Canis lupus familiaris: one gene and its partners. The protein of the gene in region 5 interacts with the protein of the main gene of each other region in a pairwise test. Links are inferred from orthologs where the notes say so. Each region holds a gene or a part of one and is shown on either strand. Other genes may lie near its edges. The genes, in order: MAPK1IP1L, SPG21, MAGED1, BOLL, TFG, PEF1 and CSTF2.

Evidence for each region.
Region 1: the proteins of TFG (region 5) and MAPK1IP1L interact in binary tests that used the Homo sapiens proteins (3 or more experiments, as listed by UniProt). The two-hybrid records come from large-scale screens. The link is inferred for Canis lupus familiaris from reciprocal best matches to the Homo sapiens genes TFG and MAPK1IP1L.
Region 2: the proteins of TFG (region 5) and SPG21 interact in binary tests that used the Homo sapiens proteins (3 or more experiments, as listed by UniProt). The two-hybrid records come from large-scale screens. The link is inferred for Canis lupus familiaris from reciprocal best matches to the Homo sapiens genes TFG and SPG21.
Region 3: the proteins of TFG (region 5) and MAGED1 interact in binary tests that used the Homo sapiens proteins (3 or more experiments, as listed by UniProt). The two-hybrid records come from large-scale screens. The link is inferred for Canis lupus familiaris from reciprocal best matches to the Homo sapiens genes TFG and MAGED1.
Region 4: the proteins of TFG (region 5) and BOLL interact in binary tests that used the Homo sapiens proteins (3 or more experiments, as listed by UniProt). The two-hybrid records come from large-scale screens. The link is inferred for Canis lupus familiaris from reciprocal best matches to the Homo sapiens genes TFG and BOLL.
Region 6: the proteins of TFG (region 5) and PEF1 interact in binary tests that used the Homo sapiens proteins (3 or more experiments, as listed by UniProt). The two-hybrid records come from large-scale screens. The link is inferred for Canis lupus familiaris from reciprocal best matches to the Homo sapiens genes TFG and PEF1.
Region 7: the proteins of TFG (region 5) and CSTF2 interact in binary tests that used the Homo sapiens proteins (3 or more experiments, as listed by UniProt). The two-hybrid records come from large-scale screens. The link is inferred for Canis lupus familiaris from reciprocal best matches to the Homo sapiens genes TFG and CSTF2.

Annotation. Positions count from the first base shown.
Region 1 is NC_049229.1:31,205,113-31,209,261, forward strand, and holds the start of MAPK1IP1L (MAPK-interacting and spindle-stabilizing protein-like), read left to right. Parts: upstream 1-1,349; 5' UTR 1,350-1,500; intron 1,501-1,854; exon of another isoform or gene 1,855-2,064; coding exon of another isoform or gene 2,065-2,076; intron 2,077-2,382; exon of another isoform or gene 2,383-2,406; intron 2,407-2,639; exon of another isoform or gene 2,640-2,661; intron 2,662-2,677; exon of another isoform or gene 2,678-2,701; intron 2,702-4,149.
Region 2 is NC_049251.1:29,798,180-29,802,361, forward strand, and holds the start of SPG21 (maspardin), read right to left. Parts: upstream 2,801-4,182; 5' UTR 2,650-2,800; exon of another isoform or gene 2,643-2,649; intron 2,516-2,642; exon of another isoform or gene 2,418-2,515; intron 2,047-2,417; 5' UTR 1,815-2,046; intron 1-1,814. UniProt on the Homo sapiens protein: May play a role as a negative regulatory factor in CD4-dependent T-cell activation.
Region 3 is NC_049260.1:44,749,442-44,753,704, forward strand, and holds the start of MAGED1 (melanoma-associated antigen D1), read left to right. Parts: upstream 1-1,463; 5' UTR 1,464-1,508; intron 1,509-4,263. UniProt on the Homo sapiens protein: Involved in the apoptotic response after nerve growth factor (NGF) binding in neuronal cells. Inhibits cell cycle progression, and facilitates NGFR-mediated apoptosis. May act as a regulator of the function of DLX family members.
Region 4 is NC_049258.1:7,090,215-7,093,714, reverse strand, and holds part of BOLL (protein boule-like), read left to right. Parts: intron 1-1,154; coding exon 1,155-1,298; intron 1,299-3,500. UniProt on the Homo sapiens protein: Probable RNA-binding protein, which may be required during spermatogenesis. May act by binding to the 3'-UTR of mRNAs and regulating their translation.
Region 5 is NC_049254.1:7,655,820-7,659,319, reverse strand, and holds part of TFG (protein TFG), read right to left. Parts: intron 2,837-3,500; coding exon 2,690-2,836; intron 1-2,689. UniProt on the Homo sapiens protein: Plays a role in the normal dynamic function of the endoplasmic reticulum (ER) and its associated microtubules. Required for secretory cargo traffic from the endoplasmic reticulum to the Golgi apparatus.
Region 6 is NC_049223.1:68,861,261-68,865,194, reverse strand, and holds the start of PEF1 (peflin), read right to left. Parts: upstream 2,801-3,934; 5' UTR 2,675-2,800; coding exon 2,651-2,674; intron 2,125-2,650; exon of another isoform or gene 1,834-2,124; intron 1-1,833. UniProt on the Homo sapiens protein: Calcium-binding protein that acts as an adapter that bridges unrelated proteins or stabilizes weak protein-protein complexes in response to calcium.
Region 7 is NC_049260.1:75,160,768-75,164,866, reverse strand, and holds the start of CSTF2 (cleavage stimulation factor subunit 2), read right to left. Parts: upstream 2,801-4,099; 5' UTR 2,703-2,800; coding exon 2,645-2,702; intron 2,622-2,644; exon of another isoform or gene 2,457-2,621; intron 1,608-2,456; coding exon 1,529-1,607; intron 1,000-1,528; coding exon 830-999; intron 130-829; coding exon 1-129. UniProt on the Homo sapiens protein: One of the multiple factors required for polyadenylation and 3'-end cleavage of mammalian pre-mRNAs. This subunit is directly involved in the binding to pre-mRNAs.

The DNA of each region.
Region 1 (4,149 bases), on a different chromosome or scaffold from region 5:
AGGTTGAGCATCGTCATCCTGGGGTCTGGAGTCCTGGGATCAAGTTCTACATTGGGAATCCCAGCTCAGCGGGGAGCCTGCTTCTCCCTCTGCCTTTTTCTCTGCCTGTGTCTCATGAATAAATTTTTAAAAAATCAGAATTAAAACAACAACCTAATGAAAAAAGGTCAAGATTTTATTTTTTAGGATTTTATTCATGAGAGACACAGAAAGAGGCAGAGATATAGGCAGAAGGAGAAGCAGCAGGCTCCATACAGGAACCCGATGGGGGACTCGATCCCGGAATTCCAGGATCACCGCTCAGGCCGAAGGCAGACGCTCAACTGCTGAGCCACCCAGGCGTCCCAGGTCAAGATTTTAAATATAGTTTTACTGACGTCTGCTGACTCAGGATTCCTTATAGCTCCATAAGGCATTACAGATTCACTGCCTCCTGACGGCAGGGTAAGTTGTTCACACTAATGTCATTTTCCATAGACCATTTTCCCTGTCCAAAAATAGGTCTTCCCCAGGCTTGGGTATTTGCAGTTTCTCTATTGCCTCTTTTCCAGTAGGAGAAGTGTGGGTTCTGGTGGAGCATACCCAGGAATAAGTCTTCCTTTAAGACGTTTCTAATAAAATGCCCCTGCCCAGTGACCCACTAAGGGGTTACCCAAAGAAGCAAAATGTACTGATACCGCATATTTCTAGTGTAGTTTTACATATAAAAATCTATGTACATACTGTATGTATATACATTTTGCACACTATATAATTACGGCAGATTCCTTGACAGCCGGGGGAATGTGTCAATCATCCTACAGACCTGACCCAAAGTAGGTAAAGGTTCTTTCAAAGATGAACATGTGGGGCCCCCTTCCCCGTATGGCTCCTGTAGCGCTCCCCAATTTCGGCCCGAGGGCCGGGATTCACTGGTTGGCCGCATTCACAGCCAGCCGGCATCCAAGCCCGGCTGTAAAAATCTCTAAGCGTAGGAAATCCAGAAGCAGTCCTCAAACCAGTCCAGGAAACAAGCTAGCAGTTTCCGCCGAGGTGCCCAGAACGTCACTGGCTACAGGCATTTCCTCCGAGGGCTCAGAATTCCGGAAAACCGGGGAGCGGTCCTCCCTCCCGCGGGAGGAAAACAGCCGCCCCGGGGCGAGCGGGAGGAGCAGCCGCCCGGCCCCGCCCCGCCCCGCCCCGCCCCGCCGGGCAGGCCGCAGTGCAGCGCGAAGCCTGCGGGGGGCGCCCGCGGCCGCACCCGGCCCGGGGAGGAGGGGGGAGAGCGCGCGGGGGCGGCGCGCTCGGCGCTTCCTGTTCCGGCGCCAGGAGGAGCCGCGCGCTGTTAGTGCTGCCGCTGCCGCCGCCGCCGCCTCCGCCTCCGCCGCCACCGCCGCCGCTGCTGCCGCCGCCACCGCCGCCGCCGCGCTCGTCAGTCAGTCCGCGTTCGGTTCTTCAGCACCCGATTCCCCCGGACCCATCGCCGCTTCTAGACTTTGCTGCGGGCTCGGATCTGGCCGGGTGAGGCTGCCTCGGCGCTAGTGGGTATCGTGGAGGGGGGCAGGGGAGCACGCCCAAGCGGGAGACGGGCGCGGTAACAGAGGAACCTCGAGTCGCCTCTTCAGGGGCCGGGACTAAACGTCGGCCCCCGCCATCTTCCCTCAGGCTGCGAGGTGCCCCCCGATCGCCCCCCGGGAGGAGGCGTCGGAGGCGGCTGACGTCGCGCCGGACGGGTTTCTCCGCACTTGACGTCAGGCCGGGTTTGGGGGCGGGGCGGCGAGAGGGCCCGGCCCCTCCCCCACCCTCCCCACCCCCACCCCTTTCCGGGCGGCGCGACCCGCTCGGCGGCCGGTTCGCTCCGGTTGATCCCGGACTCCCTTTGTTCGTTGGGCCCTGAAGGCTTCCCGGCTCGCGCCCCCTCGGTCCCCTCCCCCATTCATTAATTTCTAATAAAACGGGAGCGAGGGGCCTGAACAGCCTTGGAGGAATCTGGCACTTGTTTAATCAGATTGTCCGCCGTGTGACAACGTTCCGGTCGTTAGTTGCCGAAGGAGTTGCTACACAGATCCTATTCGACGAATACACATGACAGAAGCCGTGAGTTCGGCGACACTCTCTTTCTTAGGATTTGGGGGCTTGTGTTACGCATGGAAGCTTATAAATAGCTGAGCCGTTTCCTCTTCGAAAACCAAAAGCAGTGCTTTTACTGGTTAAAAATTTCTAATGTTGAGGCATCAGACCGTATTCCCCTGACGGGAAAAAAAAAAAAAAATTACTGCTGAAGAAATACACACTCTTACACACCTGATGGTTGTGAAGGCATGTTCTGTAAAGGAGCCTCCTTTTACAGGCCAAGGTAGCCTTCGGAGAGCTTTCAGAAGTTCTTTGTTCGGCTGTATTCACTGGGCAGCAACAGGAATTTTTCTGGTACTGGCGTCTCTGAACCTCCTATTTAAAACTAGTTTGTCTCAGCGACTTGAGTTGGGTTGTGTGTGTGAGAATGTTCTTTTCTTCTCTCCAGAAGGAACAGAGAGAGACCCATTCCTTAACTGCAAGGCTCGGGGCCGGTATGTTTTGGAATTCAGCAATCTTCGAATTGTGTCTTTAGATTTTAGAAAGAGTAAGATGCGTAGGCCAGAGGTGTCACCCTCACAAGGTCCCAGCAGCATCCCTGAGACTACGGTAATAATGGTGCAGGGATAGGCGTGACTTCATGGAAACTGTAAATATCCTCAGGTCACGTTTTGCCACCCAACTAAGTTTTATGCCAAATTCTGGAATTTTCCTTTTCTTTTCAGAAGTTTCCAAATCGAGAACTGCAGATAAAGGTTTGCAGGCCTGTGACCGCGATTGTAAAAGTTAACGTTTGTTGAGTTTTCCTTGAGTGCCAGAGAGAGACCAGGAGATTTATTTTGTCAGTCTGGGGGCAGGTCTGCAAGGTGGATACTACTCCTGTGTACTTAAACCTCTGGAGTTTGAAGAATTCAACCTGTCCATCACCTGCCAGTGAAGAGCTAGGGTTTTATCTACGCAGCCATAACTTTCAGGGTCATTCTTTTAATCTCTGCTGCCATGCCCATGTAGGAAGAAAGACAAGGGAATATATATCTGTTGCCCATCCACTATTTTTTAGAGCACTGTTATTATAGACACTTAATTTATGAATACCATTTAGTCTTTCGCATCACTAGCCCTTTTATAGTTGAAGAAACTGAGTCACTGGGGTGAGCTGAATCTGATTGAGACATTCAAACCTCAGTTTAAAGGCTCTCTGCTAAAACTTCTATCCCTCCCCTCTCTGTATTCCAACCAATTCGAACTGCTTATATTTCCCATAGCGTATTCTTGCCTGCTTTAGCTTTTGCACGGTCTGCTCTTTCCCGGGGCCTGTCCCATCATCCCCTACTGCCAGCTCTTCATTGTTCTCCCAGACTGCAAAGGAACCTCTTCTCAGGGTTCCTCCCCTTATTCTCCTTTCCTTGATTCCTTTAGGTGCCCTTTAGGTACTCAACTTGGTGCCCTGGGCTTACCCAAAGTAAGGTAGTTACTATTTAAAGGATAGTTCAGGGGGGTTCCTGGGTGGCTCAGCGGTTTACCACCTGCCTTTGGCTCAGGGTGTGATCCTGGAGTCCCAGAATGGAGTCCTGCATCGGGCTCCCTGCCTGGGGCCTGCTTCTCCCTCTGCCTGTGTCTCTGCCTCTCTCTCTCTCCCTGTCATGAATGAATGAATAAATAAATAAATAAATAAATAAATAAATAAACTTTAAAAAAAAAAATAAAGGGTAGTTCACCAGATTGTGAATTCCTTAAATGTCTATTCTGTGTAGTACTCTTCATTTCCCCAAAGCCTAACAAGACAGTGCCTGGTGTGTATATTCCAGGCATAAGTATAAAAAAAATGATACTTTAAAAAATTATGTCTTTTGGGACGCCTGGGTGGCTCAGCAGTTGAGCATCTGCCTTCAGCTCCAGTTGTGATCTCAGAGTCCTGGGATCAAGTCCCCACATCGGGCTCCCCGCGGGGAGCCTGCTTCTCCCTCTACTTGTGTCTGCCTCTCTCTGTGTCTCTCATGTATGAATAAATCTTTTAAAAAAATAAAAATTATGTCTTTCAAAAGCTTAAGAATATTCAAAAACTTTACTAAGTCCTCAGTTCCTTGAGTTGTCCAA
Region 2 (4,182 bases), on a different chromosome or scaffold from region 5:
GCATCGGGAAATCCTAGAGTCCCTTTTGACCCAGGCCTCAGAGCTTTGGACTGGCTAGGCATCTTCAATTGAAAGGCTGCCCCTCTTTGCTCAGGCATCTGTGTTATGTCCTAATAGGAACCTGAAATTACAGTTCCCATTGCAGATTCTTATTGCCAAATGAGGAACTTCCACCCACTGGTTTAGAAGGATTCAAATTCTTGCTGTGTGTCCTGTCCTGTACCCCCAGGGCAAGTCTGGATTTCCTAACCAGATGTAGGATGTGTTCAAGACCATAGGACTTAACTCCTGGGCTGACTCCACGGGAGCAGGGGGCTTCTCTGGACTGGCCAAGAGCTGGGGACTCTAAACCCAATGAAACTCTTCCTTTTTTGGCCCCTCACATCTGCTATCTCAGGAGTACAGGGAACTCAGCAGTCTTAACAGTTACCTCTAACCTTGCGGGGTTACTAAACTAAACCCCAAGGAGATGGTAAATGTAGACATCCATTATTAAACTTGATTTACAACCTTGACATTGTAATAATGGTCTGTTCTCTCAAGGCTGGGATGGTAATTTTAGAAAAGTTCGTTAAAATCATAAGTTGTTCTAAAAAGTACCAACGATATCATTTAGCCAGTCTTATGCTGAAATCAGTGTGCACAGATGTAGTTATAGTTCATACTGGAATCAAGAAAATCATTCTTTGCATATCCACTTTCTCTTAACAAATAATAACATGTTAAAAAAAATCTAAGCCATTTGAATCTACTCAGCAGGTTCATAAAACACCTAAGCTACTTATAGACAGATAGCTTCTAGATTTGCCAAACTTGGAATAAATTATTCAGTTTTGGAATCGGCTGCAATGTACAAACCAACTATCATACATATACCAATCATACGCAGGCACTCACATGCACTGTCATCCACTTCTTCCCACAGCAATAAGTAGAAAGATGTTCCTTACCACAGTCCTCGGTATTATTCACAACCAACCCAGTATTATAACATTTTATAACTAATCTCACTTGATGGAGAGATTCCACCCAACTGTGACTACATTTTTGTAGGGGCAAGTGATTTTAACACTTGTGCTGGTTTGGCAGCACATCAAAGGTAAGATAGATACCAAATGTTGCATCTGACCAACTGACGTCTAAGTTAAAAAAAAAAAAAAAAAAAAGAGCTCATTCCTGCAAAGGGAAAACAGCTGTGAGTGGTATGAAAAGGAAGTTTGTTCTCCTAGCTCTCAATCACTAAAGGGGTATACTTTTCCAAGTCACAAGAAGAACATTTCTGTATACAGCAAAAAAAGGTTAACTGAGATTGTGACCAAACTGGTCAGTATTAAGTAAGAAAGAATGTGGATCATGAGCTCAAGGCTGATTTGATCTCTCACGATTCAATTCTTCACAAAAAACAAAAGCACCTGTTCATGCTGGTGGGAAAAGGGCTGCAGAAATTAGCCTTAATCTTGCCTACAGAAACCCCTCCTCAGGGAGTGTTCTGGACACCCAGTCCTCTCTCTGGCCCTTGAGGTACTGGACGATAAAATTGCCAATTATGAGTGTGCACCTAGAATTACATGCACTTATCCCTCAGGGTTTCAACAGAACCTGCCAGTTTACAATCAATGGAATTGTCTCTAAAAATGTTTAAGTCACATAACCAGCTTAACTAGTCAGAGGTTTTCGGAACCTTTATCTCAACCTGTAGTTGCTCTGCATACGGACAATCTGTGATTATTAATACCAGCCGGAAGTAAGTATTAAACCCTGAGAGTCTCCAGGAGATGCAATTGGCTTTTTAAATGCAAGTCCCCATAACTCACCACACCAGTAGACAGCTATCCTTTTTTCAGCTCTCTTCGGGGGAAGATTTATCCCTCTCTTCTTCAGGAACTTATTCCATTATCGTCTAAATCTCATGGGAGGAAAAGCTGCCTACTTGACATTTCTTCTGTGACACCTCATCTTGTGCTGTCTTGGGATAAAAGCTCTTGGAAATCTGCACACAGCTATTAAGTTACTCCTCAGTCTCTGGAGTCTTTCTGCTAACAGGAGCTGCAACATCGTACGAGGAGACAAAGAAGCAGCATAAGTGCAGAATTTAGAACTCCCCAGGAAAGCCAGAAGAGGAAAAGCAAAACACTCTAGCCCTGCTACTTTCCTCATTCCAACCCCAGCCCCCCTTCACAAGGCTCACACTTGGCGATGACAAAGACATTTGACACTTTCAGGCTGAGGTGCACTCTCTAACATAACTAGCTTCTTTCTGCTCAGAGTTCTTAAAAGTTGGAAAAACATATTCCTGGACTGCAGGAGTATATCCCCAGGACCGGATTACAGCAGTATGCTCTGGTCAAGCGCCCCCCCCCCCGCCCCCCACCGCCACCCCAATGATCCAAACAGACCCCACCCTCTCCCAGTCCCACCAAAAGGCAGGGTCACAGGTACACCGACCACCCCGTGAACTCCACCTCGACCTCAGACAGACAGACACACACGCACGATCACGTGCACAGTCACATGGACCAGCCCACTAAGGGCCACACGAACAAAGTCACACCCACGGAGGCAGCCGCGCACACTACACACACACCCACCTGCAAGCCTCAACACATCGCGCACCCACACCCGCTTCCCAGGGCCTCGCCCACCTCTCACCCGCCGTGGCCTCCTCCACATACGTCCCTGTCCCTCCTCCCCAAGGCGGCTCTCCCCTCCCGCAGGGGCGCGGGCCCGGGTCGCCGCCTGCAGCCGGAGCGCTCGGTCCTGGCAGGCGCCGCGGTCGGCGGGGGCGAGCCGGAGGGCGGGCCTCCGAGGGGCGGGGCGCGCGGCGGGCGAGCCTGGGTCCCGAACGGGCCGCGCAGTGGGCGCGAGCCTCGCGCTTCCGGGTTTGGGGGAGGCGGGGCCACGTCCTGAGGAAGGGGCGGGGCTGCGTGGCTCCGGCGGTCACCATGACGACGGGGCGGGATGGAGCCGGGAGAGAGACTCGGCGCTCTCTGCGCATCCTGCCGCTTGGGACCTGGCGGCCGCCCCCGGGGTGGCGGTGGGCGCTGGGGGGAGGTGCGAATTGCCCCTGGGTCAGCCCTAGGTCACCCATTCGCTGCGGGCACCGAGGGAGAGATTGTGCGAGCGGCAGACGGGGGCGCCTGACACCTGGGACCTGCCTCTGCCTTCAGTTCGCGCCCTCCTGGAGGAAGCAGGTGCGGACCGTTTTCTCTCCGCCACGTGAAGCTTTGGGGGACCACCCCCCTGGGTTACAAGTTTTGGTGAACAGCACTTTGTATACTGTCTTTGCTTGGCAAGATTTTTTTTTTTTTTTTTTTTTCCCATCTTGGCACAACGCCCTCCGTGGTCTTACCCTGTAAGGCTCTCACTGCTCTTTGCAGACTTGCGCTTTCTGGAGGATTTTTGAGAACAGCTCCCACCAGGCCTCCGGCTCCTGCATCACTTTCCCCTTAAAGGAATAGGGAATGTTAATATATTTATAAGCATTCTTCTTTATTTATTCATTCATCCATGAGAGACAGAGAGAGGCAGAAACACAGGCAGAGGGAGATGCAGGCTCCATGCAGGGAGCCTGACGCGGGACTCTATCCCAGGACCCCCGGGGTCACTCCCTGGGCTGAAGGCGGCGCTAAACCGCTGAGCCCCCCCACCCCCACCCCCCGGGCTGCCCTATAAGCATTCTTCTTAAGCAAAATTTGGTAGAGGTTACAGTAAAACATTGGCAGCTTGCTGAAAGAATGTATAATAAGGTTGGATAACATGTAAATCTTATTTGAAGTCTTTCTGTGATCCTGCAACAAGGTCCTGTTGAAAGTGGCTCTCCCTAATCTGTTTTAGGGAAAGCTTATACCCTGCTAAAGCTTTTGGCATAAACAGCAACTGTTTATGGGATTAAGGTCAGGGGAGAATCTCAGTAAATTGGAATCCTTAGTCATGATCTCTGCCTTCCTGCTTGTGAATGTTGGGTCCCAGTCTAGAACTCCAACAAATTGCAGATGCATCCCCCAAGAACACAATCACACGTTAGCCTCCTGTTCCCCAACTCGTCACTTCTTTCAGAATTCTCATAGGAAGTGGTCTTTTATAATGAGCACCAGGTAGGTGTATAGGGCATGTTTCTACAGAAGATTTTTAACCTGTGGCTTTCCCCTCAAAACTTTGGAATAGTTTAATGAATGGAATAAT
Region 3 (4,263 bases), on a different chromosome or scaffold from region 5:
GAGTTAAAATGTTGAAATGAACTATAAAAATACCATCAAAAGTAAGAACCTGGTGCTGGCCCCTGTCATTTCCCTGATCACATTTTGGTTATTTATTCATCTGACAAACATCAATAATCACCTATTTTATGCCAGGCTCTTATGTGTTTAAAATGTCACGTTTAGCTCCTAAGCTGTGGGTTCCTACTGCAATGCCCATGAGTGTAGCGCAGTATTTGGGACATGGTAGATGCTCACTGTATAGTAGTAGATTGACTGAAAATAACCACAAAAAAGGAAAACAGGTACAGATTTTGGACCCAGTGTTTTCTGGAGGTAGTGGCAATAGGTGATTCAATATTGAACTTTTAACCAGAGTAAGGATTATTCTTATTATTGAAAATTTTGGGAATCCCTGGGTGGCTCAGCGGTTTAGCACCTGCCTTCAGCCCAGGGCATGACCCTGGGGACCCCGGATCGAGTCCCACGTCGAGCTTCCTGCATGGAGCTTGCTTCTCCCTCTGCCTGTGTCTCTCATAATAAATAAATAAATAAATAAAATCTTAAAAAAAGAAAATTTTGTCAGTTGTCATTTTCTTGGGGGGGGTATATACATATACAAGAATGCTTTCTAGATGAATTTACCTTTATTTGTTAATTTGAGTATAGCATGTAACTCTTTGGATACTATTCCGAGACAAAAATGATTCAGATCTAAGATTTTTTAAAATCTCGAAATCGAAGTATGCCACTTATAAAAATGAACTTTTTACTCAACATGGTATGTTAGAAAATGGTAAACCAGTATGGCAAATACATAACTGTTGGCATCCAAGAGTCAAGGCACTAAGGGTTAGGAAGGTATTTTAAGGGCTAAATCAATAAGGCGAGGTGACAAATTTGGATATGTGGGGTTTGGCTGAAATAATGCAGTTCTTCGGATGACTAGAGTTAAAATTTCTTTTTTTTAAAGATTTTAGGGCAGCCCCGGTGGCTCGGCGGTTTAGCGCCGCCTTCAGCCCGGGGTGTGATCCTGGAGACCCGGGATCGAGTCCCACATGGGGCTCCCTGCGTGGAGCCTGCTTCTCCCTCTGCCTGTGTCTCTGCCTGCCTCTCTCTGTGTGTCTCTCATGAATAAATAAATAAAATCTTTAAAAAAATAAAGATTTTATTTATCCATAAGAGACACAGAAAGAGAGAGGCAGAGGGAGAGGGAGCCCGATATGGGACTCAATCCCGGGACTCCAGGATCACGCCCCGGGCCAAAGGCAGGCTCTAAACCGCTGAACTACCCAGGCGACCCTAGAGCTTTAATTAGTAAAAAGTTACTGTCTCTGAGCCGGTTCACATCACTAACCAGCTTCTGATACGCTGAAAGCCAGAGCAATAAAGTATTGTAAAAGCTTGCTAGAGAGGCACAGGAAGTTGCCTGTAAAGGGGGCGTGGCGTCGGAAAATAAGTTTCCGCCAAACGAAGGAAAATAGCGCTTCCGGTTACGCCATCGTTGTGTCGGGGCTTTCTTCACTGAGGTGAGTGGAAAGAAAGAGGCTCATAATTTTCACAAGTGAGTCTCCAAACCCTCCCGGGAAGCTTTCCTCCTTGCTTCAACATGGGGTGGAAAGATTTCATCCCCAGAGCACATTGTGTGAAGGATGTTTCTGACGCTTATGGTTCCGGTCGCCTGTCTACCTATTCTGAAGATGGCAGGCTGTCCTCCCTCTCTATTTTTGTCCTTTTATCCCTGGTCATTCTTCACCTCTCCTCGTTACCCCAGATCCTCTTCCTGATATTTCTGAGCCTGGGCCATTTCCTCTACCACAGATTTTTTTCCTACCTCTTAACTTCCACCTTCTTCCCCGGCCCCTTTTAGCCTCAAAACTTTTGCAACCCCCTTCTCCCGTTAGGAATCTACGCCCTTCCTTTTTCTTCAGCTCCAGTACTTTACTTTCCACCCCCCCCGCCCCTCCTGCCCGCCTCTTTCAGAGTCCTTTGAATTAAAAACTTGCCAAAACCAGGTGTGACTTCAGTTTCAAGGTCAACTCTTTTATTTCCTTAAAATAAGCAGTGGCAGAAATTTTAGTCCTAAGACACAGGAGCTTGTTCAGATTATTATATTATTGCTGAGTTTATTTTTACTCTTAACCAAAATGATACATCAGAAACTGCACTGATTTTAACCCTCCTGACATAAAAAAAAAAAAAAATTGGCACAGAACTCAATCCCCACTTTTTAGAGGAGCAGTCATAGGGGTTTTGCCTGTAAAACTTGTGTCAATTCTTGATGGTCGAAGCTTTCCCATCTCCTTTAGAACTTGTCATAGGACAGAAATGGTTGACGGATATGACATCCAATCACAAATTTATTTTTTCATATGAGTTATGCCTATTCAAATCTTTTTCTGGTCTTTGGTGGCAACATTGAACAGCAAGCTGACAGATTTTCAAAGTTTTCCTGGGAACTTCGCAAGTATTCTCTATTTCGTGCAAGGTGAAATATATTTTTCTGTTCCATTCATCATGTTTACTTTGTCTCGTGAGAACGTTAGTTAATCACAATTTATTATTCAATTTTTTACCCAAGAGAGGGGATATGATCATTAAACTTAAAATGAGTGTCAGGATTATTCAGGCTCTAAAGAGGAATTTATTCACCAAGAATTCCCTTGAACAAGCAATTTATTCCTTTCCTCCTGTAACTAGTGTGTTATACTTGCCAAAATAAGACGTAAATCTTTTTCTGGGCTAGGTGTAATTTTCAGTTCGTTTAGAAAAAAGTCAGGCTCGACTTCATGATACTAAAACACTTAAAAACTTTTTTGAAGGGTATTGCTGATGTCTCTGTATTCTCTAGTCAAGTTATAGTAACACAGCATTTAAATATCCCACGGCTTCAACCCAGTGTGCAACCATCATTTATTCATCTAAGAATTTTTTTATTGAATAACTTTATGTGTCAGACAGTGTTAAGCACTGAGGATACAACAGTGGAAAATAAAAAGCTTATTAAACTTTAGTTGAGAGACAGTAAATGAATATATAGTAAATATGAGTAAGTTGTAATGGAGAGGAGATGTAGTATTTTAAATAGGGATGGTGAGGAAGGCTTCCCTGGTAAGGCAACATTTGAGCAGAAACCTAAAGGAAGTGAGGGCACGAACTATGTACAGCTATTAATGGGAAAAACAGGATATATCTTATGTTGGTGTCTCTGTATTTGTTCACTCTGCTTCCACACCCCCCTTGCCCATTGTCACTTTTTTGCATGGCTTTAATGTAGCACTCTACATACTGAAATAACCTAATCCAGGCACATACATTTCCCATATTCTTTTGTTTTTTAATCTTGGCGAGCTTCTTGCTATCAATTAGGTATGTTGTTAGTTACCAGCCCTCTAGGAAGACATGTCTTTACATACATTTAGGTATGTTGTTAGTTACATACCTAATACGTCTAGAAGACGTATCTTTACATCCATCCTCACGTCTTCTTCAATCTTTTATCCGCAGTGCATTGTGTGCTATCCTACAGCATATTTGCTTACCTCTCTCACTGCTCTTATCACTGTGTGCTCATGATATGTTGCCCATAAATGTTTGGTATGTTAAATTGGAGGAATTGAGTACTTGTCTGTCTGTACAGGCAATCTTTTAAATATAGTTGGCCCTGGGATGCCTGGGTGACTAGGTAGTTGAGCATCTGCCTTTGGCTCAGGTCGTGATCCTTGGGTTTTGGGATTGAGTCCCGCATCAGGCTTCCTACAGGGAGCCTGCTTAACCTATGTGGTGGTATTGTTTGATCTTTCATTTGTATTCACAATTTATTTGTAATTGATTTCTTTGTATGTTTTCAGTATGAGTTATTGGTATGCGTAAAGGCCCCCCTTTTGTACATTTTTTGAAATGGACATTCAAGGGTGCCTGAGTGGCTCAGTCGGTTAAATGTCTGCCTTTGGCTCATTTCATGATCCCAGGGTCCTGGGATCAAGCCCTGTATTCGACTCTTTATTCAGCGGAGAGTCTACTTCTGCCTCTCCCTCTGTGCCCCCACTTCACCTCATGCTCCCACTCTTTAAAAAAGCAGATATTTAATCAACCTAATATCACTATTGAAAAGATAGCTATTTCCCTCCTATAGAGTCATGTTTTTCATAAATCAAATGACTAAGTTATTTATGTGGGTTTATTTCTTCTGAATTTTGTTCTGTTTGGTTAATTTTTCTATCCTTATATAAGTACCACTGTTATAATGGATGTCCTTTTATAATATATATCATATGTATATAG
Region 4 (3,500 bases), on a different chromosome or scaffold from region 5:
TATTCTCAAGTCTTGTTTTTTTCAGATATATGTTATGAGTCTACCATCTTGCCATTGTACAAAGGCTTATATGTTAATATATATTTATTAAAATCTAAATTAGGCCCCCAACTTAGAATTGTGAACATATATGTACTGAGCTCAGTTCTTTGGTATACAGATTTATACCTATGAGTTACAGGTATATACATTTCTTTTTTTACGAAGTCAGTTCAAATTGACAAGTGCATTTAAAACTTTGACTTTAGAGCTAGATAATGGTGAACTTGAATGTCAGAATGTATTAATTTGTCAGTGCCCTTGACCAAAGACTACCAGGAGCATACCTGTAGTTAAGTAAAGTTGAGTCTATTGAATTGTTGCCACAAGGAAGAGCTATATACCCTGGAGCCTCTCCATAAGAGGGTGTTAGAAAAGAACTCACTATGGGATTTAGGCTTGTATTAAGCTCTTCTTAGCATTTAGGGAAGAAGGGCTTTACTCTGAAATTCATATCGTCAGAAAGTGGGAGTAATTCTAGGTTTGGGTCTGTTAATTCTTATTTAGAAGGTAAGAAAAATAGATTGAGGCCAAACCTGTGATTGATAAAGAAGGAGTAGTAACATATATCAGCCAGGATAGAGGGGTGTTTAGTCATGCTTGTGGTTTGGACAATGCAGGGTTCAGCCATGACCATGGAGTGATCTTGTTTTTATTGTGATCCATCACAATCACAGAGTAACTTTGCCTCGAGTCTGTTAACAAGAGAACACCACAATCTTACTGTGAGTTCCAGGCCAACTCCTAACAACACCAGAACCAAGCCAGTTCCCAGCTGTCTGAGTCTGCTTTTCTCTTTCTCAAACTTCTTTTTTGAGTTTAATGTCCTTAGTATTTATACTATTTAAATAATATATTTAATAAACAATTAACATAAGTATATTTAAATAATATATTTAAGATTTTCTCTGTAGTGGAATAGATTCTATATTTCCCATATTTTTGTTGCTCCAAAGGGTTATTAGTTCTAACTATAATTTTCATATTAGAATAAAATTAAAGTCTAAAATATCACATTTTGCCTAAGTGACTCATCTTTTTGAGAGATACATGTTTTCAGCCTGCATCAAAACTTATACCCAATGCTAAAAATTTAAAAGAATTTTATTTTACAGCAAACATCAAATCAGACGCAAACAGATTCATTATCTCCATCCCCTAATCCTGTGTCACCTGTGCCTTTGAATAACCCAACAAGTGCCCCAAGATATGGAACAGTGATCCCTAATCGCATCTTTGTAGGAGGAATTGACTTTAAGGTACCTATTTATGCATGCAACGTAGTGTATTTTTTGCAATAGAAGTTATTTTATTTCTCAGAAATACTTTGTACAACTACAAAAATATTTACTAATTGCATAATTATTAGTACGTTTCACATTGTCTTACTATAAAAAATCTTTTCAATAACAATGTAGGTTAAATAGAACATATGTAATTGTCCAGTTTCACATACAAGGAAATTGAGGCTCATTGACATATCTGTAGGCTCCTAGCTTATTAGTGACAGTGAAGACTAGAACTTCAGTATTCTGACTCATAGTTTCATATTCTTCACCATACCACATTAATTATACTTTATTACATAGTATTCCAATAGATCAAATAATCATGTTTATAATTTTCAAAAAAGACTCAATATTAAAAAAAACACAAAACTTAGTCCTATGAAATCCTGTTTGTTTATCCCAGCTCTACTCAGTGAGGTACTGAGCTCTACTCTACTCTACTCAGGTTCCTACTGAGTGATCTCCTTAACTTCCATCTTTCACAGATCGCTTTCTGCCACCTAATTTAGAATTTGGTCACCAAAAAAAGGCCTGTAACCTTATCAGAATAAAGCATCTTAACATTAATGTATTTTAATTATGTAATCAGCCATTTCATTCTTTCAGAGAGGCTTAGTTTGTTGTTGTTAGATGTTTTGCAGCACCATTTCAGAGGTGGAAGTAAACACTTAGAGGAAAGGCCTGCATGGCTATTTTAAGTAGAATATCCTTACTTCCAAGTGGATCTATAGGATTTCCAAGCTTCCATTTTATGTACTGGAAATTACAGGGATAGTTATCTTTTTTAATTTAAAAATATCCTTTTGCCATTAGGGTACAAAATTTATTACTATTTCCCTGTCTGTAATCAGTCTTCCAAGATTAGGGTGAAATTACTTTTTTTCTGTTCAAGAGAAATGTTACACTCACTGTATTTGTCAGAATAATGGTTCTTAAGTGTGTGATTGGTTCACTAAAAATAAAAATGATTTCTAATGAAATGTTTATTTTAAAAAAGATTTTGTTTCTATGGAAAATATTCTAGTATTCTTGTTCAGAATTTATATTACAAACAGTATATTTTTAAAATAAATCCTCATTAAATCAAAACATTTGTATGGCTAGGTTATTCTAGGTTACTGAATTCTATCAGCTACATTATGAACTTTGGAGGCCATTGTTAAAAATGCAGTGACAGATTTCAGGTATTTGCTAGGGTTCCCTCCCTAATACTTAGATGTTTTCCAAAACCATAAACAAATGACAACAAGGAAATAGTTTACTGTAGTAACAAGCTGTGTCAAACTTTTTAAAACTTTAAAACTTTTTAGAAGCTTACTGTACATCCTTCTTATAATACTTAATCATCTTGCCTTTCTGTCTCCTTACTTTTCAACTAAGAAGTAGAGCTACAAAACTGAACTAGTGATTCTTCTATCAGAGAATAGTTTGAATTAATTTGTTTTTATTTTATTTTTTAAGATTTTATTTATTCATGAGAGGCACAGAGAGAGAGAGAGGCAGAAACATAGGCAGAGAGAAAAACAGGCTCCATGCAGGGAACCTGATGCAGGACTTGATCCTGGGACTCCAGGATCACGCCCTGAGCCGAAGGCAGGCGCTCAACCGCTGAGCCACTCAGGTGTCCCGAATTAATTTGTTTTTAAATATTTAATAGAAATTCTTATTCTGGCATTGATTCCATTTTAAGTTTATTGAAATAAGAGGTATTTAGTTATTCTGAGATTAACTTAGTATTTGTCAACAGTCAGTTTAGCAGCTTTACATTACCAACTAATAGCTGATGATGTATGTAAGTAGTAAGGGAACAGTGGAACTCAGGAGATTAACTTAGTATTTGTCATCAGTCAGTTTAGCAGCTTTACATTACCAACTAATAGCCGATGATGTAAGTAGTAAGGGAACAGTGGAACTCAGGAGGCATAGCCTCCTGCCATTGGGCATGTCTTTTTCTGAGTATATAAAGAAATTTTTTTTCTAAAGACATTTAAAGTCCCCCATGAAGTAATTATACATGTGCTAGAAAATGAAATAGCAATGAATTTAGTGTGAATACTCTAGGAAAAGATGATATGAGTCTATTGAGAGACTATTTCAATTAAAGCCATCTTTGTAGATATCTTGTACATTATAGTTTAATAATGACTCAGATTTTTATTTTGAATATCATAA
Region 5 (3,500 bases):
CTGCGGAGGCAGACCACTGACGAACGTAGGTAGCCACATGTTTTGGGGTGAGGCCAAACCACATTGTTCTAAGGAGTACTCACAGCTGACAACACCATTTCGTGGTCTAGACTGTTTCTGGTGTAGCATTTTGGGGGAGTTATTTTATGTTATTTTCTTGAGAAGATTATTAAGTCAGGATATATTCTAAAAGTTTAGAAGCTTTAAATTTCATAGAAGGCAGGTGGTCAAGAGCTAGTGATCTTGTTAAGGACAAGAAAGGAAACAAAAAATGAATTACAACCATCTACAAAGCCAAAGCACAGCATGCATTATTCTACTCATTAGATAACTGGAATAGGACACTCTGACAAGAAGGGAGGCCACACAAAGGAACAATGCGTGATGTAATTTCCAAGATGAAGAGAAGAAACCAGTTTTTTTTTTTTTTAAGAAACCAGTTTTAACATCTTTTACATTAACATCGGTGAGAATAATAAAACATGAAAAATGAAAATAAAGGGTTAATAAAGTGAGGTAATAAAAACAGTGGCAAGAAATACATAAGAACAGAAAGGTTGTTTCACCAAACGTAAAAGTTTATAATTCTATTCCTTACAGCAGAATATAAGCTACAATAGGTAATTTTTACACAGTACCAGCTACACTTGTTGAATTTTCATCTAAGTTACATAATATTCTACAGATGCTCAAACCCTCTGAAATTATAAGCAAATGTTGTTGTGTCAGCCATCTATGAATTACTCTGGCAAAATGGCCAAAAGTTTTCTTCAGATTCTGGACCTAAAGTTGGAGCTTTTTGTCTGGAGAGAGAGGGTTCAGAAAAGGCCATTTGCCTTGACGTGAAATATTAAAAGTTTCATCAAGAAAAGGTCAGGAAGATCTTATTATAGTATTTCAGCAAATCTCTAATATGCTTTGAAATACAGAAGTAGGGACACCTGCGTGGCTCAGTGGTTGAGCGTCTGCCTTGGGCCCAGGGCATGATCCCAGAGTCCCAGGATCGAGTTCCACATCAGGCTCCCTACATGGAGCCTGCTTCTCCCTCTGCCTGTGTCTGCCTCTCTCTGTGTATCTCTCATGAATAAATAAAATCTTTAAAAAAAAAAAATGAAATACAGAAGTGGAACTAGAAATAACTAATCACCAAGTATTTATTAAGAATCTACCATTAGGGATCCCTGGGTGGCGCAGCGGTTTGGCGCCTGCCTTTGGCCCAGGGCGCGATCCTGGAGACCCGGGATCGAGTCCCATGTCGGGCTCCCAGTGCATGGAGCCTGCTTCTCCCTCTGCCTGCGTCTCTGCCTCTCTCTCTCTCTCTCTCTCTCTCTCTCTCTCTGTGTGACTATCATAAATAAATAAAAATTAAAAAAAAAAAAGAATCTACCATTAATACAATTCCACATAGCTGGAGGAAGAGAGGAAGAGGAAAATTACAGAAAATGCAGTTTTATTTACACTGTATTTAAACTAAAGAAAGAAAACAACTCCAAAACTTAAATAGAGCCAAAAAATATAATCTAGGAGGAGAATCTAATGGCTGCAAGGATTATACAATGCCACTTTCCCACAAAATCATCTTCTATTAAGTCCGTTATATACAGTCATCCAGACTTTATAAAACTTACTATTTCATAATGCAACTTTAAGCATATAATTTATATGCAAACAAAAATTGTAAAAAAAACCCCACAAGTTTGTTTTTTAAGTGCAACATCTAAGAATACTAAAAGTTGAGGAAAGCAGTTTTTCAAAATCTATTTTCAAGCCCTAATACACAAACTTCAGTCTACATTTTTAAATATATTTGGTCCAAAAACTTTGTCAGTTCCAAATTTGTCAATAAATCTTACTTTATCTTAATATAAACACACTACATATCATCTGTAAAGTGGAAAAAATAAGCTTTTCTTTACATATGATTAAAAACTATGTTTAAGTAAAGTCTACAATTTTCCATTTGAATATACAAATCTCAAGTTATTTATTTAAAATTACTTCATATGCCACATAAAACACATGAAATTATTGCAATTCCTAATTATTGTAATTACACTGTAATTATTACAATGGAAAGGGTTCAAAAGAGTCAAAGGGGTTTGAAAACTGACCTATTCATAAACCCACCGGTTTAAGACTAGTTGTAAGGAATTAACCCAAGAGCACTTTAAAAATGGGATTCTTTGGCCCTGCTCTTTAGTAGATTTACAATGAGATCCAGGAATTAGTAAAATAAAACCTCCTGGTAATCCTAAAGGACAGAGGCAAAAATAAGAAAGGGTAACAAGGATGCCAACGTGCTCCTACATAAACAGTTTTTTAAAAAATCTGCAAAATGATACGAATATATAGAGTATAATGCTAGGCAAAAAGTCAAAGACAAATATCATTTCACTCATATGTGGAATTTAAGAAAGAAATATGAACAAAGGGGAAAAAAAAAAGAAACTAAAAAGATTCTTAACTACAGAGAACTGACGGTTACCAGAGGGGAGGTGAGCTAAACAGATGATGGGGATTTGCTTGTCATAATGAGCACTGGCTGATGTATGGAATTGCTGAATCACTATATTATACACCCAAAATTAATATAATACTGTAAACTATATTGGAATTAAAATAATAACAATAAATTTTTTTAGAAAGACAAAGGAAGAATAAAGCAGAATAAAATGGATTCACAGTCTACCATTTTCAGGAATACTGCCGGAAGGTCCTGGCTCTCCAGGTGGTTCCAAGCTATCCAATAAGCGGTTCACTTTATTTCTCAGTTCTATCAGCTCTCGACGGAGATATTTCACCTGACTGGATTCAAGGGGTCTTGGCTGGCCATTAACTGGAATAAAAACATTAATTTGCTTAAAATTAGGCAATGTTCTTAATATATCAACACAATAACAGCAATAAGAAAAAACAAATGTAATTTCTTTAAAAAGAGAAACAAAAACAAGATACCAAATGATGTCATTTAAATGAGAACTCTTTTTAAGGAAAGAATTATTACTAATAATTATTACTATTATTACTATTACTATTATTACTAATAGTTTACTTTTTGAAAAAACAAATATTAATCTGTCTTTGTTGATGCACATCTATGGCCTATGATAATGTTGGTTAAAAAAAGTTTTATTAGGAGAAACTACAATAAACTAAAATTTTAATATATATTTTAATAGAAATTATGTACCTTCAAAAGCTCACTTTTTTTCTCCACACTGTTCTTTTTATATTTTTGAAGTAATATAATAAACACCTTATTCTATACATATATGTTAAAAGCTACAACGTGACTGACAGGTCTGTTATCCCCCTTGCCTATTTTTGACCTAAAAAAATAGCCACCTAAAATAACTGACCTAAAAAGTAACCTATTAAAAAAAAAAAAAAAAAGCAGAATTCTTGAATCCAAATCACTACTGTTCTTCAAAGTAGTTACTTCCAAAAGCAGTATACTAACTATAAAAAGTCAGAGATATTTAATAATCATTGGAGTTTTT
Region 6 (3,934 bases), on a different chromosome or scaffold from region 5:
TTGGAATACCTTGGACCAGGAGTTGGACAGGTGGACAGGGTATGATGGGGGGGATAAAAGCATTTCTTCTATTCTAGACACTGTTCTCTCCATGCTCTTTTTCAGAATTTCACTCTGAGCAGAAGCCCAGGCCATGTGGCCTAACAGTGATCCCAGCAGCAAGAGCCACCACCAGGCACTGGCACACACTTGGTATCAGCACAGTGCCAAGCTCACTGCAAGCTTTATCACAGTTTGTCTTCATTTCAGCCCTATGAAGTATTATTCCTCCCTTCTTAAAGGTGAGCAAACTGATGGTCAGAGCCCTTAGATGGTTTGTCCAAGGGCATATAACTATTAAGTGCTAGAATTAGGATTCTAGCCCAGTTGTATCCAACCTGGAAGCTTAGGCTCTTAATTTCCATGTTACTGCCTCTAAGATGCTTACAAAATACCTCCAGAAACTTATTAAGATGTAGATTCCTGGGCCCTTCCTGGGTATGGAATAGGTCTGAGGTAGAACCCAAAAGTGTGCCTTTTTATTTTATTTTATTTTATTTTATTTGAGAGAAAGAGAAAGAGAGAGAGAGAGAGAAAGGAGAGAGCATAGCAGGCAGGTACAGAGGGGAAGGGAGAGAGAATCCCAAGCAATCTCTGTGCAGAGTGCAGAACCTGATGCAGGGCTCAATCTCACAACCCTGAGATCATGACCTGAGCTGACACCAGGTCAGATGCTCAGTTGACTGTGTCACCCAGGTATCCCCAAAGGTGTGCTTTCTAAACAAACTTCCTGGTGATTCTGACACAGACCATCCACTAAAAAACAACGCACCATAGCAATGTTTTCCCAAACTGTGTTCCCCCAAGATAGTAGCTGTACCAAAAAATGACCAGAAATTTTTTAAAAAGGGGAGTTGGGAGTGGGAGGTAGTTCCACAGTTAAATAAGTTTAAAAATACTGCATATTCTATCCCTCAATGGCAGATTTACAAAAGCATATTGACAAATTAAGAATTCTGAGATGCCCCGTGTTGAACAAACTTATTCACGGAGTATTTCATGGAGTATCTCCCAAACTTATTTAACCACAGAATCCTCCTCTATTAGCAATACCTATTAACATTTCGTAAGACCCAACCAATGGAATGGAGCTTTGGAAGCCCTGCTAGATTATACTTCCTCTTAACATCAGCTTTTTTTTTCTACCTCTGCTAAAAATGCAACGAAAAGGAGCAAGCCACTTAACCTCTTTGGGCTCCTTCCTCAGCAATAACCTTGGGACAATAATCTCTGCTAGCATGCTTACAGGACCTTCATCACTGAGATTAAAAAGGTTCAAATACTGTGTACAAAAGCCATACAGGGCTGTACTCCCTCACCTCTCTTTTGGCATGGGACTATACTCAGTTGATCGCTAATATCCCATATAATTTTATTTTCCAATTTTCCCTGCATGGGTTTTTAAATATTTAATTTATTTATTCATGAGAGACACAGAGAGGCAGAGACCCAGGCAGAGAGAGAAGCAGGCCCCATGCAGGGAGCCCGACCTGGGACTCAATCCCAGGTCTCCAGGATCACACCCTGAGCCAAAGGCAGACAGACGTTCAACCACTGAGCCACCCAGGCATCCCCCCTGCATGGGTTTTACCTCCTAAATTAGTATGATCTTGGGCAACTCAGGAGCCTCTCTGGGCTTCAGTTTCTTAAAATAAAGGGACTATTTTGAGGACCCTCCTGGCACTGACCTAGGAGTCTTAAAAAAAAAAAAAAATCCAAATACTAAAATACTGTTAGACTCTTAGAAGTACCAAATGCTTTACAAGCATGACAGCTTGCTATTCACGACAGCTCTCTCAAGTAGACCCTATTTATTGGGCCCTATTTTATGGACGGGGAAACAGGCTCACAGAAGCAAAATACCTTGCTTAACGGCTCCTAACTATTTAAGAGGTGGGGCCAAGGGGTGAACCTGCTGACTCCAGGCTGAACTTAACCACTCTACCGATCCGTCATCCAACAGAGGCTTCTGGTCACAGAATCCCCTGGCTGTGGTGCTCTTGGCTGGATCGAAATGGGCTGGGGAGGGGGTAAGAGGCCTGTGCCGACAGCTTCCGGGTTCCGCTGCCCGCCCGGGGGCCTCGGGTAAGTTCTGCGTCTTCTCTGGGTTTCACTGTTCCCATGCATGAAACGGAGGGGTCAGCCTAAACGAGCAAGGTCACTCGTGGGACCCGCAGAAGCGGGTCAATCAAGATTCTCCCGATTCTTCGCACGCAGTACGTCAGGGGTGTATTTTTATCCGACGCCCCGAACGTGGCAGGCGCAACCAGTTGTCTCAGTTCTGCTGGCGCGGGTGAGCCCGTCGGCAGCCCCCCGGGAGCCCCGAGGAGGTAATCAGAGCCTCGCCTGATTACGTGGGGTCCAAGGTCCCCAAATCCTCACGGGCGCGACGTCAGAGGGGGCGCGACGCAACCTCCCAGACCCGCAGTCCTGCGTGACGTGAGACAGGCGCGACCGAGCAGCCTTTCGCCTTCCCTGGCGCGCGAGACCTCGCCGACGCCGGCCTCCGCGTAGGAAGGGCGCGGAGAACGCCCGGACAAGGCGAGGCGGCGCCTGGGCCTGGACTCGGCGAAGCCCCTACCTGGAATCGCCCGCCCCCCCGCACACTCACCTGCCCGTACGGGTAGCTGGCCATGGCGACTCGACGTCACACGTCGGCGAGGGGCGGGGCTTCCCGGCCCTAAGCCTGCCCCGCCCGGGCCGGGGGTGGGCCCGCTTGTGATTGGGTGGCCGCCGCCGTCAATCCTGGACGCCGGGACCGACGGAAGTGACGTTCTAGGGCGGTGGTCGGGTGCCTGGGGAGAGGCCGGGGTGCTAAGGAAGGCGTGAGGGTTTCCGGAAACCCTGCCAGCCTGCGGGCGGGGCCGTTCTTCCCTTTCCTGCCCTGGCGTGGGCTCCGGGGCTGCTCAGGCCCGGGTATTCAGCGAGAAACTGGAGTCGGGTGTTGCGGCGGTGGCCATGTTTTAACCTGGCAAATGGGGCGCCTGGTAGCGGGTGCCTTGCAGTCGTCACGGGAAGTTTCCGCCCGCGCCCGCCGGAGGAGGGCCCGGGCGGTTGCCGTGACGACCGGAACAGACAGAGGCCTCCTGGACAGGGGGGAGGCAACGGCGGGAGTACCTCGCTCTAATGTCAGGACACCACGTGCCAGTTAGTAGCTTTGGAGTGAGACCCGTGGTCTTTGGGGAGGAAAACCCCCGGCCACCAGAGTGGGAGGAAAATTAGATCATCTGGGCTCTCTTCGTAAAACAGCGATACTGTGGTCCGGAGAGGCAGCGACTTGCCCTGGTTCACAGTGGGCGGGGGCAGAGGTGGCCTAGAGCTGCTGTCAGTGGTTACCGGGTTCTCAGCGGGGAGGTCTGGACTGTTCCCCCAAGTCAGTCCAGTTCTGTCACTGAGTGACCACGTAGAGTCATGTACTTGCTTGCTCGTGGTTCAGGCTCTGCACTTGTTTGCATGCTTACTTGACTAAGGGGTTAAGCTCTTACACGTGGGCATAGGTATGTGGTTTTTCTTGTCCTATCCCATGTACCTAGGAGAGTGCCTGGCACGGTTTTGTTTTGTTTTGTTTTTTTTAATCGATAAGTGAATAAGGTGTTACGAGGTGTTATCCATTCCAGACCATCTATCTATCTATCTAGCCAGGCACTTTCCAAAATCACTGTGCTCATCATGCTACCTGCTGGCTGGACAGAGGCTACAACGACTCCATCTGCACCTACAAAAAAGGCCCAACGTCTTCATTCTGGCCCTCGAGACCTTTCACATATGACCCAACTTCACCTTGGCATTTGGTATTGTTACTGTGCTATATTCCAGCCAGCCTCATGTAAGGGTTCTCTTTGTTATTTTCCTCAAAACGTATTCCCCTCTTTTATCCCAGAAAATTCACCCAGTC
Region 7 (4,099 bases), on a different chromosome or scaffold from region 5:
GTTTCATCAACTCAAACATCTGCTCCGGTGGAAGACTGGCAACTGCTTTGCTAATGGACTCAGGGGCATCCTCAGGACTGATGGTCTCTCCATAAGGTGACTCAATGACAGGGGCACCAGTGCCAAGGCCTGATCGGGAAGAAAGTACAAAAAGTTAAGGAGGCAAAATTATGAGCTAAATCATTTTAAGTATCTACCTTCTAGGGCCACTTTCTTTCTAGGACCCATTGTAACTTTACATTTTCTGGAACTGAGAAATAAGTGAGTTGCAAGTCTCTTATTTCTGTAGAGGAAAGTGACAGAGTATATTTTCCACTCTTAGAAGAAAGCTAGGACTAGGATCACACAGATGGAAAATGTTAACCTAATTAGGGATGAGGCATATTAATTTCCTCTAACAAGTCACTCCAGAAACGAAACAATAAAGATGCTAATTTTTAGAAACAAAATAATAGAAAAAGATGCTAATTTCAAAATGGAATTCCTGGTCTGTTACCACATGAAAAGACCCAGAATGCCTTAGTAATCCCACCAATTACATATCTGGCAAATAGTTACAGCAGTGGTAAACTAATGACATAGTTAGTGCAACTAATGGTTTGATGAACCTGAATTCATCTTCAACTGTAAATTAACTCCTTCACACCTGAACAACTCCTAAAGTCAACTTTATTTCTCAAAGATATACAATTCCCTAATGCAGGTGCCTCAAGTGGGTCAAGAAGCTATGTGCCTAACCATTTCAGCAGGTGCTAAAAACATCATAAATGGAAAAATCTTGTTACATCTTTACTAACTCACGTTGCATATAAATCAGGTTTATACTCACTCTTCAACTCTTCTTTGTTCTTTTCACTGGCAGCATTGTCCACTCGAAGGGCTCTCCCACTGAATTCACGTCCATTCAAGTTTCGCATGGCACTAAGTGCCGTCTCCTGGTCTTGGTATTCACAGAAGCCATAACCCTTTGGCTTTCCTGTCTCCCTATCATACACCAACCTGGAAGGGTAGAACCAAGTATCAGGCACAAATGCTACACACATACAGGGTTCCTGCTAACACGGCCATGTTCTAATTTGGTTCACTGTAAGACAAATAACTTTATTACTCTGATTGCTTTGCTGAAATATTTTTAAAACATTTTTAAATGAAAAAAAGTATCATTTAGTAAAAGTAATTGTGAATTATATGGTATGTGAATTATATCTGAATAAGGCTGTTACAAACAGAAGGATGCATGTGAAAAGTCACCAGTAAAAACCTTGCCATTATTGCTAAGGGCCAAATATGTGATTTTATTTTATTTTAAAGATTTTATTTATTTATTCATGAGAGACACAGAGACAGAGGCAGAGACACAGGCAGAGAGAGAAGCAGGTTCCATGCAGGGAGCCTGATGTGGGACTCGATCCGGGGACTCCAGGATCACGCTCTGGGCCAAAGGCAGACGCTTAACCGCTGAGCCACCCAGGTGTCCCTAAATTTGTGATTTTAAAGAAAACCCCAAGTAGTCAAAGGAGAATCTCACCTGAAACTAACAACAGGTCCAACCTCAGAAAAGATGTCCTTTAATTGTTCTTCAGTAGCCTCATATGGAATGTTCCCCACTATGGAAGAAAATAGACATTAAAATTCTGAGTTTGTGATCTATTTCCCTTGTAAGTAAACAGTGTCCACCTACTGAAAATGTAACAAATATCTCAAAATAGTGTTCCTACAATTGCAGTTCCATGGTATTTCGGCATGATTTCAATCTTGTCTGCTGACTTTAATTACAAAACATATAAACTGCTAAGACTAAAGGTATAGGCACTTCTAAATATCAGTTCTCAGGCTCATCTGACAAGTGTGATGATTTTCCTTAACTTCAGTGAAAATAGTTTGGCATTGGTACTTACCTGAAGATCTGCAAGTCTTATCAATAACTACTAAAAATACCAAAGCAATTGGAATTTTAAAAACTGGCTCATTATGTCCATATTTCTACACGCACGCACACAAAGAATAACCATGAATGTAGTGAAGGATGTTTAAAAATTATTCTAAACTATTTTATCATGTCCTTTCCAAAAGAAGCTTTAAAAATCACTACAGTTACTTAAACAAAATATTATGATCCTCTTTAAAATTTCTTCGACAAGGTCTTAATCATTCGTTCATTCATTCATTTACAATCCACCTTAAGACGTAAGGTGGCCACAATCAATATCGAACTAAAATGTCACAGTAAACAACAGAGGATAAAAGTCCTTATAAAAGGGCGGGAAGTGGACACAAGGAGCGTATAGACACTCAGCATATAATCTGTATTTTAGGGTAGAGGGTGAAAAGTAGTAAGGGACAGTTGCCATGCGCCCTCGATTCCAGACAATAAGTGAAGCTCATGAAAGAAGAAATGCATAGAAGCTGAATGCTAGTTTAACTTCCTCTGCCACATCATGGAAAGGCAGTGAGACCTCAGGGGGAGGCATCACTTTGCCCGCGAGTCCACTAGGTTGGCCGCCCCACAGGATAGGCAGGTAGAGCTGCAAGCTCGACCCATCACCAGCTTCTCCGGCGATTCATGAGGTGCAGGGGGCATTCCTCGCCGCACCCTGTCTCTTTCTGTCCCTCCCCGATGCTTGGCTTCACGAATTCCTCTCACCGAACACCGAACGCAGAGAACGATCCACCGCAGGGTCTCTCACAGTCAAACCCGCCATCGCTCTCTTCCGGAAGCTTCCGGTGCGCCGGAGCACACTTGTGTACGGCGCATGAGCTCTGCGCTAAACACGCTTCTGTACGGCGCGTAAGCCGGAAGCACCTGGGCGGGCCGAACAGCATGGCCCCTCCTCTGGCGTCATTCGGTCTGCAGCCGGCGCGCTTTCCGTCCCCAAGAGCATTAACCCCTCCGAGCTGAGTTGCGACCAGAGGATAACTCTTTCCCGAACTAGGTTTGAGCGGCCCCAGGCTAGCTTCCAGGATTTTAATCTGTAAAATTCCTTATTTTTCCTTTTTTTCTGAGACCAACACGAGGAATCATCGACCACAATAAAGATGGCGGCTGCCGCTTTACCATGGTAACAGGGAAGTCATTTGCTAATAACCTTAGCGCTTTGGTTTTAGTTCCGCCCTTTCAGGGAAAAGTGCTTGGTCCCACCCCCGCAGCTTGCCTGTTATTTTGTAAAGGCTGGAGTGTACCAAGCAACGTGAGGAAACAGTAGTGGCGGTCTAGGGAATGAGAATGAGGATCGCTCAGATTCAAGGCGTCACCGTAGCTGAGGAGATGGGGAGGTAAAGGGAGAACAGATCCCTGTCTGCCCCTGGGTTCCATGTGCTCTGTGGTGGTGAGGGAGCAAGGTGGCGGAAGGCGGAGGCAAAGGGGTATCTAGAAAAGGTCTTTGACTGCTGGTACTCAACAAGCAGCTAAAGCATGATTTGAACTCAAGTTGCTTTGGCTCAGAGACTGAATGCTTAGCTGCTGTAGCTATTGCCTCCCAGTATAACTGAGGGAATATGAATGACTCGACATATTTTATTACCATTTTTGGAAAACGATTTAGACCGTATGACTTGGGGATTGTGGGACAGTGGCTCATAACAATGAACTTCGCTAGTACAGGTTGAGGCATCTATAACCAGGGGCTTGTTGTGCTGCCATCAATCATTTGTAGAGAATGGACTGTTGGTTCTCTCACTTCATCAACCAACCCTACTTTACTGGTTAAAAAAGGAGGAGTGTGCAAGGGATGTTTCCTAAGCTTTTGCTTTTGTATATTTGGGTTTCATTTACAGGCCGTGTGCTAGTGACTCCTGCCTTAGTGCCTGTTGTCCCTCAGAGTCGTTTTCCTTCACTGCAACACTCTTGGAGTGACACATACCTTTAGCCTATAGATTATAACAAAATGAAGACAGAAGATAGGGTGTCTGATGTTGTTGTAGGTGTTATGACTGAACTTCAGTTACACAAGAGTATAGGTGTAGTATGAAGAGGTAAGGGGAAAAACTAGGAAAGGTGCATTTCTACACAAATGGGACTATATTTAGAATAAGTGTTATTTGGGAGCTTGTGCAGAAGAGAAAGGATGCCTGGAGGAGAGTCAAAGAATTTGGGAAGCCA